3 linked regions of the Callithrix jacchus genome follow. The protein of the gene in region 2 purifies or fractionates together with the protein of the main gene of each other region. This does not show direct contact. Links are inferred from orthologs where the notes say so. Each region holds a gene or a part of one and is shown on either strand. Other genes may lie near its edges. The genes, in order: PGRMC1, DUSP9 and MAPK11.

Evidence for each region.
Region 1: the proteins of DUSP9 (region 2) and PGRMC1 purify together in Homo sapiens (affinity purification with mass spectrometry; 3 studies listed by BioGRID). This does not show direct contact. The link is inferred for Callithrix jacchus from reciprocal best matches to the Homo sapiens genes DUSP9 and PGRMC1.
Region 3: the proteins of DUSP9 (region 2) and MAPK11 purify together in Homo sapiens (affinity purification with mass spectrometry; 4 studies listed by BioGRID and IntAct, with this or other methods). This does not show direct contact. The link is inferred for Callithrix jacchus from reciprocal best matches to the Homo sapiens genes DUSP9 and MAPK11.

What each region holds. Positions count from the first base shown.
Region 1 is NC_133524.1:115,130,163-115,135,759, reverse strand, and holds the start of PGRMC1 (membrane-associated progesterone receptor component 1), read right to left. Parts: upstream 3,838-5,597; 5' UTR 3,728-3,837; coding exon 3,400-3,727; intron 1-3,399. UniProt on the Homo sapiens protein: Component of a progesterone-binding protein complex. Binds progesterone. Has many reported cellular functions (heme homeostasis, interaction with CYPs). Required for the maintenance of uterine histoarchitecture and normal female reproductive lifespan.
Region 2 is NC_133524.1:149,566,678-149,572,055, reverse strand, and holds the start of DUSP9 (dual specificity protein phosphatase 9), read right to left. Parts: upstream 3,285-5,378; 5' UTR 3,110-3,284; intron 2,403-3,109; exon of another isoform or gene 2,199-2,402; intron 1-2,198. UniProt on the Homo sapiens protein: Inactivates MAP kinases. Has a specificity for the ERK family.
Region 3 is NC_133502.1:218,841,707-218,847,077, forward strand, and holds the end of MAPK11 (mitogen-activated protein kinase 11), read right to left. Parts: intron 5,259-5,371; coding exon 5,200-5,258; intron 5,116-5,199; coding exon 5,004-5,115; intron 4,920-5,003; coding exon 4,890-4,919; intron 4,802-4,889; coding exon 4,754-4,801; intron 4,676-4,753; coding exon 4,561-4,675; intron 4,259-4,560; coding exon 4,187-4,258; intron 3,951-4,186; coding exon 3,871-3,950; intron 3,407-3,870; coding exon 3,328-3,406; intron 3,243-3,327; coding exon 3,069-3,242; intron 2,777-3,068; coding exon 2,697-2,776; 3' UTR 1,490-2,696; downstream 1-1,489. UniProt on the Homo sapiens protein: Serine/threonine kinase which acts as an essential component of the MAP kinase signal transduction pathway.

The sequences.
Region 1 (5,597 bases), about 34 Mb from region 2:
TGCTATACATTTGTGTCAGTAACCTGCGGTTTTCAAACAGCTAGTAAAAGTCATACGTCATTAGTGATCTCTTGGGTAGTAGTAGTAGGGAATCACATAAGATAATACTGAGTCCATGGGTTAGAATTCAACTTTAGAACATTGAACTGGGAGCCTGACTGTTCTAGGCACTTGGGGCTACACCAATGAGAGTTATGGTTTCTGAAGATAAAACACACTGATGTGTACATGAAAACACATTTCCTTATAAATATATTCTGATCTGTTTTAAAGAATCAAAGTTATCTTATAGAGATCTTTGGTTGTAAGGTTCAATTAAACATTAACTCATGGCATCTGCAGAGAATCATTTTATAAGAGTATCAGTGGTTCAAAAATCTATCCACATTACATAACCTTCACTGTCAATAAATAAGAGATAACACAGAGATCAGTCTTCATGATCTGTTTTTGGTAGGCTTGAGAAGACTGTGAAAATACTAAAATCTTCATGGAAAAGAGGCTGAATCAATACTGCAAAATAACTCTATAAAACTCAGAATGCTATGATTTATGATATTATACTGAACTTTTGTCTAAGAGAGCAGAAAATCATTCCGTAGGTACACAAAGTGGATATTTAGACTTATTTAAATATTGCACAACTACATGAAGAGAATCCAGTGTACTTTAAACAATGTGTTATTTCCCCCAAGGCAGATTGAATAGCAGCCCTGACATTTAAAAGTTTGTAGGTAAACACTGTGCCAAATATGAGAATAGGTCAAGTTTCAATATGGCCTGGTCACCTGAAACCTCAATACACTCCGAAATTTTTACAAATTAAGTAAATTTTATGACTTTTAAATACAATTAAAATTCCAAAGAAAAATGCTTATTTTTAATCATCATTACATGCTGCCATATCCACTAGAAAAGATAAAAAAATTCCCACATTTTTCTTAAATGTATACCTCTAGTGGAAATGGCAGCACCTAGTACTTGAGAATAGCAAACGTAATGGTTTGAAGCTCACCATTTCAGAAATTATGGTCATTGGCTTGGTAGAGTGAGTCTTTACCAAGCAAACCTCACAGAATATTTAAACAAGGTCTAGTGGGAACATTAAAAGTCTTTAAAAAATACATATTATTCAGCTCAATGTATATTCACTAGGATGCAAGCAGAAATTTGTATCTGTTTTGCTCACTGCTATATTCCCATATCTACAACAGTATCTTGCACAGTTAACAGGCACTAGAATGACTGATTTTTAGGAATCCTTTACAACATGAAGCATCACTTCCTACCATGATGTCACGTAGTCATGGGCTCACTGAATGACAGTGCAAGATAGAGACAGAGATCTCACAATAGGCGATCTTTATTACTTTTCAGAGAGAAAACTAAGGCTCAGAGAGAACAATGCTTTAGACAACGTCACACAACTAGTAACGACCCAATCAGGACTAGAATGCAGGTTCCCTGACTCCTAGTTTTGTGCTCTTTGTGCAGGCTGACATTCCTCTCAATGACTCTGCAAACTACAGTCATGAAGATGCCTCATGTACATGTTTTCACTGCCTTACGGTTGTGTTTAATATTAACAGGTACTTACATGATTATGTTTATTGATAAAGCATCTATGTGTGCTACTCTAAGTGACAAATCATATGTGTGGTTTGGTTTTCAAATTATTCTGACAGTTACATGCCTACAGAAAGCAGGTATTCTAAAATATCCACAGGCCCAGTGTGGTGGCTCATGCCTGTAATTGCAGCACTTTGGGAGTTGAAGGTGGAAGGATCGCTTGAGCCCAGGAGTTTGAGACCAGCCTGGGCAACACAGCAGCAAGACCCCATCTCTAAAAAATAAATTTGTCTCTAAAAAAATAAATAAAATATCTGCAAGAGAAAAACTAAATGAGTGAGTTCCTTACCCTTAACACATCTTATTTTGATCAGTTGGACTGGGAGATTAACATGAATGCCCGAGTTTCACCTGTGTACTGCCTTCTGTACTCTTCCCTCTCTCAGGCCAGTGGGGAATGAGCACCGTTGATATGGACACCCTCTACACTCCCTGTCTTTAGAGTCCATATTGGAGGATCAAAAACCTCTTCTTCCTCCTCTCCAAGTATTCTATAAAGCAGGACTTTGCAAGCCTGGCTGCCTTTCAAATTTACCTGGGGAAGCATATTAAAATGCAGACTCCCGGACCATCCTGAGACTCATCTGCATGTCTAACTCATCTGCAGTTATACTGGGAATCTGCATTTTTCCTCAGATGCATCAGGTGATTGTGATACGCAACCAGGTTTGCAAAAACCTCACCTCTAAGGAACCCATCAGGCCTGCCTCCTCCGACAGCTCAGCAGTGCAGCAGTTATCCATTCTTCATTTCCCTCTGGTTGGCTTTTCCTGATTCCCCCCACCCAGCAGTCTTCATAGCTCTACTCCTTTTGTTTCTCGGTATCCTCCCACTTCTCCCTCCCTCCATTTTAATTTTTTTTTGGGGGGGGCTTCTAATCCTTTCTCTCCTCCTATAGACTAAATACCATACTACCTTAAAAGCTTGCCATGTTACCATTGCCCACCACGTTCAGCCTTTATTCCTCTCTCAAACAGTCCCCTTCCTCCTTGTTCACCTTCCAGCGTTTCCCCATCTGCCCACACACAGCACAAGCGCACACATACCAAACACATGCCACACACATACCTGACGCATGACACATTTCAAGTGCGTGTGCACACACACCATACACACACCCCTGATAAATCATACACTAAACACGCACACACCGCGCATGCACACTTCGCGAGTGCACACACACATCACTATCCACCAGGCACAATGCTTTTACCTGCGGTTAATCCTATCTCTGCGGTTTCTCTCACACACTCACATTCGGAATCTACTCCCGGCGGCATTGGCCTTCCAGTCTTCTCTAGCTCTGGACCTTCTCTCACTCTCGCCCTCTCCTCATCGCTCCTTTATTTCCCCTCCTAGAACCCGACACTACCCTCTCCTCCTTCCAGGAATCCTCAAGCCCAGCACCTTCGGAAACTCCCCCAACAGCCTTGGCTTTGATGTGCTCCCCCCACAACGCCTTCGAGCTTTGCGGTCCCACCCACCCCCAGCTTAAGCGCCTCAGCCTTCTTTCTCCAACCCCCTCCCAGCGCTGTCAGCGCGGGCCGGGGATCTGCGTCCCCGACTGGCCCGCAGCCCCTCTGGAGTGCCTCTTACCCCCTGCCAGCCCCGGGAGCCTCCCAGCTCTCCGATTGCCCGGCTTCCCTAGCTCGCCGCCATTCCTCCCTCCGCTCAGGGGCGCCCCGCTCCCGCCTCGCCTCTCTCCCGCCCAGCCCCGTGCCGGGGGGCCCCCTTCTTTTGTCTCCGCGGCCCCCTAGCTGGCCGACGTACCGGGCCCATAGAACTTGCGGCCTTTGGTCACGTCGAACACCTTGCCGTTGATGGCCATCAGTATGCGCGGGTCCTGGACGCCGTCGAAGCGCCGCAGCTCGGCAGGGGTGAAGTCGCGCCGCTTAAGGCGGGGCAGCGGGGGCGGCTCGTCGTCGTCGCTATCGCCGCTGGCCGCCGGCTGGTCCCCGCGCACGATCTTGTAGAGCAGGAAAATGCAGAGGCCAAGCAGCAGGAGGTTGAGCGGAGACGTGAAAATCTCGTGCAGCAGCCCGCCGTTCTCCAGCTCGCTCGGGTCGGCGCCGGTCGCTACCACATCCTCGGCAGCCATGATCTCTAGAGCAAAGGTTGGGCCGGGCTAGGCAGGGCTCCGGAACTCGCCGCTTTCTCCTCCCTCCGAGCGAGCGAGTGGCGCGCGAGGTTCGGCGGCCGCCTAAGACTAGCCGGGAGGAGGCAGGGCCGGAGGGGCGGAGCCTCCAAGCCCCGCCCACCCCCCGAGGCCACCTAAGCGCCCCGCCCTTCTCGGTTCCGCTGGGCCGCCCTCAGGTCCCCCACAAAGCCTCTGGAGTCCGGCGCCGCTGCTCCGCGGCTGCGCGGTGCTCCCTCAGTTCTACCTGGGAGGCCCCAGCCGAACCTCACGCCATTCTCCCGCCATCCTCTAGCTGAGCGCGACGTACGCGCTGCCCTCCTCGGCACCCCTTTTTTCCTCCTCGCAGACCGACCCGCTGGGAGAGCCTCTGCTTTGCCCGGCTCTGTGCGAGCGCCCCTCTGCCACCTGATGCGCTCCAGACACCGACTCCATTTCTCTTGCTGCAGGCTTTTCCCTGCTTCCATTCCACAGCCCCTCATCTTCCCCCGGCCGTTCCCGGGCCCTGGAAGCTGTCTTAGGAGACAGGAAACTCATTCTTGGAACTCCATTTTCTATCTCAGAGCCCTACATGACTCATTTTCACCTTGGAAACCCCCGTTCGCTCTCCTTGATGGCCCTTCCCCAATTCTCCCCCAGAAGCTGTGGGACCGACTCCCCGGGCATAGCTAAAGTCAGTGCAAATCTCTCCCTATTATCTGCGAAAACGAATCGGATCGCCCAGTTAACTTTGTGTTTGTTGTCCGAAAAACCCTTTTGCAATTATTGATTTGCTCAGTCACCAGGCATCAGCAAGCAACGTTCTCTTGTTGCTCTTTTTTTCCTCCTCAGAATAATGTGCAAAGTTTCTTTGTTTGGCAGCGTTCTTCTATTTGGACTCTGTCAGTCTACCTTTAACAGTCACAATAACCCTGAGCTGGAGCCCAGACAAAGGCGGGAATTTGTAAGGATCCTAGGCCTGGTCCCTTCCTTTCCTAGGTACTTCACCCGGCCTTTGATGTGCTAACAAGCTGCACAGAAGTTGGCCTCCAAGTAGGAAGGGGTTGCCTCGTCCTAATTTGGCCCTTCTTCTGGTGGCAGGGGGAGGGGAGCAGAAGAAAGGATAGAGAGGGAAACAAATAATTAAAACCAAGCCCTGCACACATCTGCCGCCCAGAGCAGTACTTTTCCACCAAGCGTTGTTGGCTTGCACATAATTTACTCCTCCTCCCAACACGCAAGACACTTGAGTAAAGAATGGCTTCTTACCTCAGAATTCTAAAAATTTCTGGCAAAAACTGCTTCCATCCCTGCCCCTCACATCTTCTTAAATCATTTTAAAGTGATAACAAACAACCTTTGTATCGGGCCCACGCATTTTTCTCAGAGCTAAATTTGGGATTCGCTGAAACAGCCCCTCCAGATCTTTTGTCAAAACCCTTCGATTTAATCACGGGATACAGGCTCAAACTGAGGGCCCCTGGCTGTAGTTAGAATCTATCTCTCTTAACATGTATGGCCAAAAAAATTAGAAAGCTAATACATTTATGAAAAATATTTTCATTTGCAACTAACATGACAGAAGGTTAATATTTCTTTGAGGGTTCATTTGGATTGATGAGAAAATCTACAAGATTCTAGTCAATAAATGGGCAAAAATAGAAACAGGTAGTTCACAAAAGAGAGCATGCCAGTGGTGAATAAGCATTTGAAAAATGTTCAGTCTCATTTGTAATAAAAAGAAAACATGGAGATGCCACTGTCACCTACTACTTTTCTGCAGGAAAGATAAAAGGGAAAAAAAGGATAACACAGTATTGGCAAGAGAGTGGTGAGACTCTCATACGCTGTTGGG
Region 2 (5,378 bases):
GAACTAAAGTAAAAGAAATCAAAGTTACACACATTCTCTAAGGAGTGGAAAATGGAAAGCGCACTGCGAGTCCCACAGTGGGAATCATTACGGAGTCAGAGGAGCAAATGTCTGAGGTCACGGTTACGGAAGAGGGCAGGTGATGGAAAGCTGGGAGTGGGGTGGGTGAGTGTGAGGGGTGCCGTTCGAGGCCTAGATCTTCCCCACGGCCAGATGGAGATCTCTAAGGGGCTTCCAGTTTCCCCTCCCCCTCCCTTCTGGGCAGTGGGCTGCTAGCCGGGACTCCCAGGACCCTGGCACTGGGCTGCTGTCTGGCCACACCTCCATGTCCCTGTCTCTAAGATGAGTCCTAATTCCTGCATCCAGGGGCTTTGGGCAGCTGGACTGTGCCCTTCCTTCTCCTCTTGCCCAGTGGGCATGGGCCCCAGCCCAGGCCTCCCTCCTATGCCCCCTGCCCAGGTTCTGAGATTCTGCTTCTTTCTGTAGGTCCCCTCGTCCAGGCAGCCCTCCCAACTCGGAGCCAGTAGTCTCCCTCCTTTGTGCTCCCCAGTGTGGTCACTTTCCCCCTTTCTCAGTGTGTTCCTGGGGCAGGAACTTTGTCTTCTCCCTCCTCCTATCTCAGCCTAGTCCCACAGTGGTGGAGGTGTACACTGGTGCCCAGCCCGGGGGCTGCCTCCAGGCCCACTGCAGCTGTGGGTGGGAGCTCAGAGTGGCCAGGGGTTGAAGGCACCACCGAGGTTCTGCCATGTGCCAGTCTGGTTGTGGCTAGTAGGGGTGGCACAGGGCTGTGAGCAGCCGGGAGCTGGACAGCGGTGTTCCCCGCTCCTGTGCCTGGGGGCTCAGTCTGGCTGGAGAGGGAGCTCCTGAGGTGCTTAGGCCACTCTGGAGAGGGCTCCCTGGAGGTGAGAGGAGCTGGGCTAGGATGAGGATGAAGAGAGGCAGCCTCCGAAATGGTGAAGGGAGGGGAAGCCCGGGATCCAAGAGTCCCTGGCTCCCGACCGGGCGAGGGGCTCCCTGAACCTAACTGCGGAGCCGTGCTGGCAAGCCTTCCCATCCGGAGAAAGAATTTAGGAGGGGGCCATAAGGGGCTCATGAGGAGGCCATGAGGGGCTCAATCTCCAAAGTCAGAGCTGAGAGTTCAGGGCCCACAGCGCCCGCAGCGCCAGCAACAGGACAAACGGGAACCTGTTGCGGCCTCCGCACTGCAGGGCTGAGCGCAGCCAACCTCCTAACCCCCTCTAACGGCGACCCTCGCCTGACTGCCCCCACTCAGGCCCCCAGCAGCGCCAGCTCTGGGCGCCGCCGAGCCCCGCAGCCACTCCCGGGTGGGCCGTGCAGGGAGAGGCCGCGTCGCGCGCCCGGGCCTCTCCTGGCCCCCTCCGGCGGGCGGAGCCAGGCCGCGCGCTCGCTGCTCGTCGCAGGGTGGGCGCTGCGCCCGCCTACCCCGCCCCCGCCCCTGCCGGGCGCCCCGGGCCTCCGCCCGGCCGGGCCAGCGCCCCCTGGAGGCCGCGAGGAAGCCGCCGTCTGCAGGCCTCGCGCGTGCCGAGTGCGCCCTCTGGTCCCGGGGGCCTCCCGAGAGCGGCGCCGCGCCGCCTTCCCACCCCGAAATGCACCATTCCCGCCGGGCCGAGTGGCAGGATTTCGGCTGTCGCGGCCGGGTCACATGGCCAAGAGCACAAGTCCCAGAGACAGCGTGTCTGCCAAATCCAGTGTCTTTTCCATCAAATCCACTTTCTGCTGGGGATGGTCGGTCTCCTCGCGGGACTGGGAGTTCCTCCAAGGCAGGAACGTGTGTGTGCCCGGCCCCAAGCTGGCCCCAGCCCCCAGTGCAGGGCCTGGCACGCGCCCGGCGCTCGCGGAAGAAATGCTCGTTAACAAAGAAGGCATGAATGAATGAAACCAATTGTTGCCTGAGGGAGCTGCTCCTGCTTTTCCTTCTGCCGATTACACACTCCTCCCCCACCCCGACACGCATAAGCACACGTGCACATACAGCTCTCCCCGTAACACACACACAGGCCGGCACCCAGACAGCGCGCGCGGACTCCAGCCCGCATGGAACCCACCTACTACGGGCTGGTCGGGCAGCTGGCGCCCCTTTGGTCCCACCTGGGACGCCTCCATTTCAGCGGCGGGCGCTCTCTGCCTCCACCCCGCCCCTCCCCCCGGCCCCTTGCCTCCGCATCTAAGTACCCTACCTTGCACCCCAAGTGCCTTCTTTATCTCTTAGGGAAGAGGCCAAGTCAGTCGCTGGGGAGTCTCAAGGTCTGTTTAGGGAGGCACCTGGGGAGCCGAAGGCTGATGAGACGCTGCCGAAGGAGAGCCAGAGGTGCCTGGCAGGGATGCCACCAAATGCTGCAGCCTCTAGAGCCCGCGTGCCAGGTGTTGGGAGGGAGGGACTCAGAGATGTGCTGGGGGTGTCGAAGGCTATTTGTGATGGGGGCGGGGTAGGGTGCTGGAGAGCGTGAATCCAGCAGGTGTGCGCGCGTGCTGGGGCGGATGAGAGTGCGCGCTGGAGATGCTGGAGGTGTGTGCCTGGGACGTGGGGAGTATCGGCCGCTGGGATGTGGATTTGTGATGGGACCTCGCTCCCGGGTGGGTGGACTGCAGTGTCTCTGGGCTGGGCACCTGGGTGGGGTGTCTGTCATGGGATATGGGGAGTTCAAGGTGGCAAGAGCATGGTAGGGGGAGCTATGTTAGTGCAGGTATCGCAGAGATGTGTTGGAAGCGTGCGTGTGCGCCTGGGTGTGTACTGGGGCGTGGCAGGGTCTCGGTGGGTTGGCATGAGTTGGGGACAGTGGTGAGTAGTGGTACAGGGGATGCTAGTGTGTGCATTACAGGGACCCGGCTCTGTGATGCGTGGTTTGTGTGCGCGCGAGTGTGCAGCCGGTCTAAGTGGCAGTGGACACGGGAGGTGCACGGGAGGGGTGCACGGGTGTGCGGCGGCAGCACCCAATGGGTCTCCTAGGGGCGCGTGCGCCGGCTTCGTGGGGAGTGCCTTGTCAGGACTTTGGGGGTGTGGGGTGGAGGAGGGGGTGCACGTAGGGGGGGTCAGCCAGGCCGGGTGGGGTGGGGTGGGGGTCCCCAGGACGTCGTGTGCTCCACTCACCTCTGCTCCGCTCGGTTCTCTGAGCCTGTTCCCTGCGTCGCGGCCGGGAAGTTTCTGAAGCTCGGTCGGCGGGAAGCGCCACTGCTGCCGCCGAACGCCACCGGAACCCCGGGCGGCGGCCTTGCCAGGAGCTGAGGGGCAGCCGCCGGCGCTGCGGAGGGAAACTCCAAATCCCGCCCCCGCCGCCGCCGCCGCCGCCACCGCCTCCTCCGCCTCCGCCTCCTCCGCCTCCGCCACCGCCTCCTCCCCTCCCATCGCCGTCTTCTCCGCCCCCTGCCCAGGAGGGGCAATGTAGCTGGCGGCGCGCAGGGAGGGAGCGGGGAGGGGCCGCGGCCTTCCCGGCGTCTCCCTCCACCTCCCACGCCCCCGCCCGCCTTCCTCCCACCTGCAAGCTTCTGCCCTCTCCGCCCGTCCTGCACGACGCGCCCTGCGCTTCCCGGTCCCCAATGGTGCTACTGAGTGGGGACTTCGGAGCTTGGAGCGCCGGAGTGGGGTTGGGGGCCCTGAACTAGGCTGGGCCTGGGCTAGGGGGACGGTTGCTCCGCAGAATCTGCACTGGCACCCCAGCCAAGGGGCCCCCTGCAGTGTCTCCTCTTATTCTCATATGTCAGATTCTGGCTACTAGTAATAGCATTTGAGCCTCAGTGCCTGGAAGGGGTGGAGCCAGGATGTTGAGGGAGGGGCTGGGAGCAAGTAGGGAGCGGGTGTTGTCACCAGGTCCCGTTAGCTTTCTCCTTTGTACCACAGGTCACACCCATTGGCACCAAGGACCTCATTTTATCCTTACAGCAGTTCTGGAAGTCTGAGGAGATTGTCCCCATGTTACAGCCCGGGAAACTGAGGCCGTGGCTCCCTGGTGGTGGCACGATAGTGTAGTGGCAAAGTAGGATGGGGCTCGGGCTGGCTGAGTTCAGAAGCCTAGAGCCTGAACGAGCGTGAGTGCGGAAGATTGCATGGGGAGGGGAGGGGAGGCAGCCGTCCGAGGTGTGCACCTGGCCTTTCTGGGGCTCCCAGGCCAGCGGTGCATGAGCCTGGCCTCCTGCCTGCAGTGGAGGAGAGGTTGAGATCCAGCAGGAGGATATGAGCGCAGAATAAGGTGCGGCAGGGAGGGCTGGGGTGCCAGCAGCTCCACTGGCTGCCTGGCTGTGTCTGCGGCAGCGCTGAATTCCCCTGAGTCATTACCCCTGGAAGAGACAAGGGCAGCAGCTTTGCCTCTGGAGCCCAGTCCCTGCCCCATCTCTGGGTCTCCATTTCCTGGTCTGTACTTTTGGGGAGAGAGGTGGGATCATGTGATTTCCAAGGGCCCTCCTATCTGTGCAGTTTCAAGCCATGGTGAGTGAGCTGGGAGGGTCCTGCTGTTGCCAGCCAGGCCTGTCCGCCCTGCTCTGGGCCCGACTGCAGCAGAGTCCCTCCTGGAAGGAGGCCACTGGCCCTGCAACCCTGTCCCTGCTCTGGACTCTGGGCCTCGTGGGGCTGCACTGGGGCTCTCCCCTACAGCCTTGGGGGGCCAGGCTGCCCAGGACCTGCCACGAAGGCGAGCATATGCAGCCACCGCTGGTGCCTGTGCTGCTCGATGTGCTGAAGTTATGGGACCTTTCCTAAGAAATCCATATACCACAGAAGCTGTGCCCTAAAAACAGGGGGCTGGCTTTCACATTCCCCCCTCCACCGAGGGCGCCTCCTGTTTGGAGAGGACGTAGGACAGCTGTGCCCGTGGCCTGGGTGCTCAGCTGATCACCAAAGGCTTGGTGGGTGAGCTGACTCAGAGGAGTTTCTAGTAAGCTTGGGGTTGCCATGCTTTAGTGACTCAGGGCTGAGAGGCTGGGGAGAAACATTTGGATTGAATAATCCGCCCTCGTCTCTGCACAGCTCCCACTCCAGCCCTCCCAGTGTCTCTGCTCTCCACGCAACGAGACCATCCGTTGCTGGAGAAGGAGCATACAAAGACCAGGCCTGCTCCGAGTTGCCTCAGGAAATAGCGGTCCCCTCTTCATCCCCAGGGCTGGAGAATAAAATGCAGAACACTCCCAAAGAGGAGTTGAGTGAGTGAAAGTTTGCTTCGCAGAACCGAGGGCACAGCTGGGCCTCTGACTCCAAAGCAGCTGGGTCCATCTGTTGCTGATGGGAGTGACGGGGCGCCCCAGCCTTCTCCCTTTCCTCTGCGCCCCTCACCCTCCATTCCACCTGAACACCAAAGCCACTGCCCTCCTTCTTGTTCCTTCCTTGGGGATGGCCATTGGGAAGGGGCCATCTTGTTTCCTGTGAGACC
Region 3 (5,371 bases), on a different chromosome or scaffold from region 2:
CCGCTGTGCCTGACCATTGTCCCCGCACGTGGGGTCCACCTGCACCTGTCCTGCCTGCGTCCCTGTCTCCCAGACTCCTCAAGCTGCATGCCCAACCCCACTGCTGTGGCCACTGACCCTGGGCCTCCCAGTCCCATAGGTCCCCGTGGGCCCTCCTGCACCCCCAGCTCCTCCCCTTCTCTCCTCTGTGGGGTGCTTGTTCCACGCATTGCAAGTGTCAGTGCATCTGCCTGTCCCACCCCTGCCTGTTCCGTCCTGCAAAGCTCATGGCTGCACTCTCTCCTACAGGGACGAGGACCTGCTGGGCCCTCAGCCTGTCCCCTCCGTGTGGGCATCATCCTCCCATCGGTCTGGCTCCATCCTGGACCAGATGCTTCAGAGTGAAAAGCCCCACCCTGACACCCCTTCCCCAGCCCAGTGATCTGGGTCTCAGGAAGGATGGGGGGTGCACCCCTGGAACCCACTGGGTTGGTGGGTAACAAGTTCCCTAGGGCCCCCCGCCCGCCCTCCTGCCATGAATCAGCAGCTCAGCCGCTCAAGGGTGGGAGTAGCTTTACACCTGGGCTTCCGGCTGTCTGCGGCATTCACCAGCTGGTGACCAGTGAGCCGGGGTAGCCCGGGGCTACCCAAACCACAACTGGCTGTGGCCTGCAACCTTTGTGCCCTGGGCTGCCTGTGGCACTCCATCCACGTCTTCCAGGAAGCCCTGCTTCCACTGCTGTCCCCCTCACTCCTCATGGTGGGGCTCAGGGGTCCAGCAGGCCCCACACAGACCAGGCATCTGAGGTGGGGCTGTGTCCCCATTCTGCTCCCCCACACCCCAACACTGGACTTCCCCAGGACTGAACACTACACTGACTAGGCCCCAGGAGGCCCCCAACTCCCAGATGATTTCCACCCCCCATCCAAGACCCAGGCAAGGGGCACAGGCTGTCCCTGGCCCCCAGAGATGCTGCCTGACCCAGCATGGCCTGGACCCTCCCCCACAGTAAACTACCGTGTATAGTGGGAATGGGACTATCGCATACATCCCTCAGATTAAAGTGGGCTCTTTAATCTTCAACAGAAAGGAAAGGAAAGCTATTTTCCTTACCCTGCCCAGCCCCACCCCACCAGGGATGGGCAGACCCTTACTCCCTGAGACACCCAACTACTCCCCAGCCAGCCTCCCTGACCACTGTGGGGGGTGGGGTCTGGATCTTGGCCAGAAGCCAAGCCTGCCCAGTACATCCCCATAGGGCAGCTGGGGTCACCATCTGGGTGGCTGTCACACCCTATGCACAGAGCCCACCCATCAGCCATGTCTTCTCTTGGTCCCCCTGGGCTCTCAGACCCTCCGGGGAGCAGGGAGGGTGCCAGAAGATGGCTGCTTGTCTGACTGAGAGACTGAGGGATCTGGCCAGCTGGAGACAAGTGATGAAGGGTGACCCAGACACTTCCCCCACCCCCAGCAGCAGGGCCTGTAGTGGCCTTTGGATATGAGCCGAGCAAGAGAGAACCCCCTTTATTGTGCACCCCTGGTGCAGGCACTTGACACCCAGGCTTTCCTGGGCCCCTCAAGGCAAGAGGTCACCGCCTTTCCAGGGCAAAGCCACACTCCCAACTCAGCTCTGAGCAGGGTCCCATCTTCCAGGGTTATTGGATCAGCTCCATCCTGGGACAAGGAAAGAGGATGACTAACCCGCAGACCAGAGCACCTCCGATCTCTGGCTGCAGGGCCACACGGTGGGCAGAGGTAGAGAGTGGGCCAGGGTGCTGGGACAGGAGTGTCGGAATCCAAGTCCACATCTACGTGTTCGGCCTGCCTTAGAGTCCTCAAGGCTGAACCAACGCCCACCTCCAGCCTCAGGAACCTGCTATAGCTCCCACGTCCGAGGAAAAAGCCCCTACTGTGCTCACGTGGTTCACTGGAGCCTCTAGTCTGAATCCCAACATCCCTCAAGCATCAGGAACTGGGGGGAGGGAAGGCAGCAGCACACCCGCCCCAGCTCAGGGTTCTTGCCAGACATGGCTGCTGTCCCTTGGGTGCTCACGGATTCACATGCACCACATGTGCCCTGCCATGAACACAGGGAGTGCATGCCCATCCACGCGTGCCCACACCCATGGGTGAACACAAGGCTCCAGGCAGCTTTTCTTATTTGATACGTGATGGTTGTCACTGCCCAGCCTGGTGGCACACTGGCTCTGCCTCTCAAGACCTGTGGGTCTCAGCAGTGACCAGGGCAGTCCCCTACTTCTAGGCTGAGCATCTGTAGTGACTGAGACCTCTCCCTTTCAGTCTCCGGGGTTCCCGGCCCCAGTGCGCCCTCCAGAGCCCTGAGACAGAAGAGATCCCTTGGCTGACACTCCCCATGGGTCGGCCTAGGACAGACAGGGGAACTCCCCAGGGGAAGTCCTTTGGCATCCAGGACCCCACAGTCAGGTCCCAGTGGAGAGTGCAGTGGCCAGGAGGGGGCAGGAGGACCAAGGTAGGCCTAGGGACACTTGTGCCCAGACTCCTACACATGGCAAGCACATGTACAACATGTTTGTGCATGCATACGTGTGTGGATTCTCCTGAAGGCAAGGGGTCCTAGACCAGGAGTCAGTGACCATAGGAGTATGGGAGGCGCCTCTTGAGGAAACCAGATCAACTGTGGAAAGGTGCAGGCCCAGGCCCCTCCACAGGCTGTCAGAGGCTACCGGGCAGCACCTCACTGCTCAATCTCCAGGCTGCCAGGCGGCTTCGGTGGCTCTGGGGGCTTGAAGCTGAGGACTTCCTGGTAGGTGAGCTCTAGGAGGTGAAGGGAAAGGGTAAGCTTGTGCCTCCCACAGCCCAGCCTCCCACCTGCTTATCTGGCACCTGCCACCCGGCCCAGGCCCACCACACTATGACAGCAGCCTCAGCACAGAGTCTGGGAGCCAGAACCTGCCCTGTGCCACCCCGCAGCCTGTGCGGACACCTGCATGCCCTTCTGCCCCTGACCAGTCTGGAGAGGAACTGGAGTTCCTCTGGGAACTTCCTGCCTCTGGGGTAAGGCAGCCCGAAGGCCCCTGGACCCAACCCCAGCCACTGCCATGCCCACCCTTCCACTCCTCCACGGTGCGCTCCTTGGCCTCAACACTCTCGTCGTACGGCTCGGCCTCTGGCTCATCCTCAGGGTCATGGTACTGGCTGAAGTAGGCGTGGGCCAGCGCCTCTGCCGCACTGACCCTCTGGTCACTATCCAGCACCAGCATCCTTCCTAGGAGGTCTATGGCTGCAGGAGAGCCATTGGGGGTGGGGGTCAGCTCTACATCCAGGACCAGATATGGAGCCCAGTCTAGCCCCAGGGCAGTCCTCACCCAGGGGGTTGGCTCCGTGGAAGATGCTGCTCAGGTCCTTCTGGGGCATGGGGGGTAAGGACTGGATGTATGTCCGGGCCTGGGAGCAAACAACACCACCTGGGGAGGCTGCTCACTCTCTGCCTCCCTGGCCCCAAACTGGGGCTTCTCTCAGCAAGCCACTACACTCATTCACTCCAACGGGCCAGGACAAGGGCATAGGCAGACCAGTGAACCCCTCTGCGTAGAGCTGGTGGCTCTAGCTCCTCACTTAGCCCCTGATGCCTGCAGGAGCTGGTCACTCCTTGCCCCCAGCCCACCCCCACTGCCATGGCCAGGCACTGCTTGCTGGGATCATGGCTTAGCACCCACCGTCCCTGGTGTCAGGAATGTCTTTGCTGTTCTCCTGTTCCCCCTGCAGGGATTGGGCACCTGCCCTGGGCTCTATCCCACCACGTCCCATGTTCCCCACATTGTCCCTGCATTTCAATACTACCCTCTCCCCCAGAGAGCCTGGGGGCTCAACCAGCAGAGGGAGCTGCTGGCTGGCGGGCACCTACTCACGTGTTCCGAGGAGATCTTTGCCAGAACCTCCGGGCTGGGTGTGCCCACCACTTCCATGATGCGCTTCAGCTGGTCAATGTCTGCATCACTCAGGAAACACCCAGCGGCCAGCCGCGGACCTCTCCTAGGCCCTCAGACCCAAGATTTGGGGCACTGCCCAGAGCCCGCTCTCCTATAGCTGAGGATGGCCACCCCAAGGTAGCATGGCATGCGGGAGGGCAGAGGAGGCAAGACCCACCAGAAGGGGCCAGCACCAGCCCCTACCCTACAGGAGGGGCCCCGTTTGACCCTGCTCCCCAACCTGAGCCAAGGATACAGTCGCTTCCCGGGAAGAGGGCCTTGCCCTGGAGTAGCTCAGCCATGATGCAGCCCACAGACCAGATGTCCACTGTGTGAGGGCGGGGGGCCTCCGTCAGTGTGCCCACCCCACATCCCTCCTCCAGGAGACCCGAAGTCACATCCAGACCCCAAGACAGGTAGACCCCCTCCTCTGCCACATGCAGCCCTGGGCAGGGGGAGGCGACAGCTGCGGGGCCAGAAGGGTCCAGCACCCATCATGTTCTAGCAGCCTCTGAAGGGCTGCTTTTGAATGTGGGTCTCACATTTTTGGGGACCTTGCCTGCCCACCAAGAGTGAGCATGCAGGGCCAGGGCCTTTGGCCTCCGTCCCGGCCAGGCCTTCCCCCTGCACCTGTCTGGTTGTAATGCATCCAGTTGAGCATGATTTCAGGGGCCCGGTACCAGCGCGTGGCCACGTAGCCCGTCATCTCTTCGTCTGCCTGGCGGGCCAACCCGAAGTCCAGGATCTGGGGCGACCACAAGGTGTTTTCAAGCCCCGAACAGGCTCCGCCGCCACCCTGCCCACCCCTGCCCACAGGCCTCACCCTGAGCTCACAGTCCTCGTTCACAGCCACGTTGCTGGGCTTCAGGTCCTGCAGGTCACTACGAGCGTGAGCGTGAGGGCAGGAGGCCGGGGCAGAGCCCTGCCAGACCCAACCCTCACCCTGCGGCCGCACCTACCCGGTGGATGATCCCGGCCGAGTGGATGTACTGCGGGAGGGGGGTCGCGGTCAGCGCTGGGCCCAGCACGCCCGCCCCGCGCGTTGGAAACCCGCAAAGCCCAGGGCGCCCCACCTTCAGCCCGCGCAGCAGCTGGTAAACCAGGAACTGAACGTGCTCGTCGCTCAGCGCCTGGCACTTGACGATGTTGTTCAGGTCGGCGCCCATCAGGGTGGTCACCAAGTACCTGCGGAGGGGGGCCGTCAGGACAGGGCCCCACCGCCCCTCCGCGAACGCGCTCCCCAGGGCGCTGCCTCGCCCCGGCGCTCACACTTCGGTGAAGTCCTCGATGGACGTGGCCGGCGTGAAGACATCCAGAAGCCCAATGACCTGGGTGGCGCGGGGGACAGGGATCAGAACCCGGCGGCGAACCCCCGGCCGCCGTTCAGCACCCCGGGTCCCGCCCCTTCCCCGCCCCCACGGCCCGGGCTCACCCGCCCATT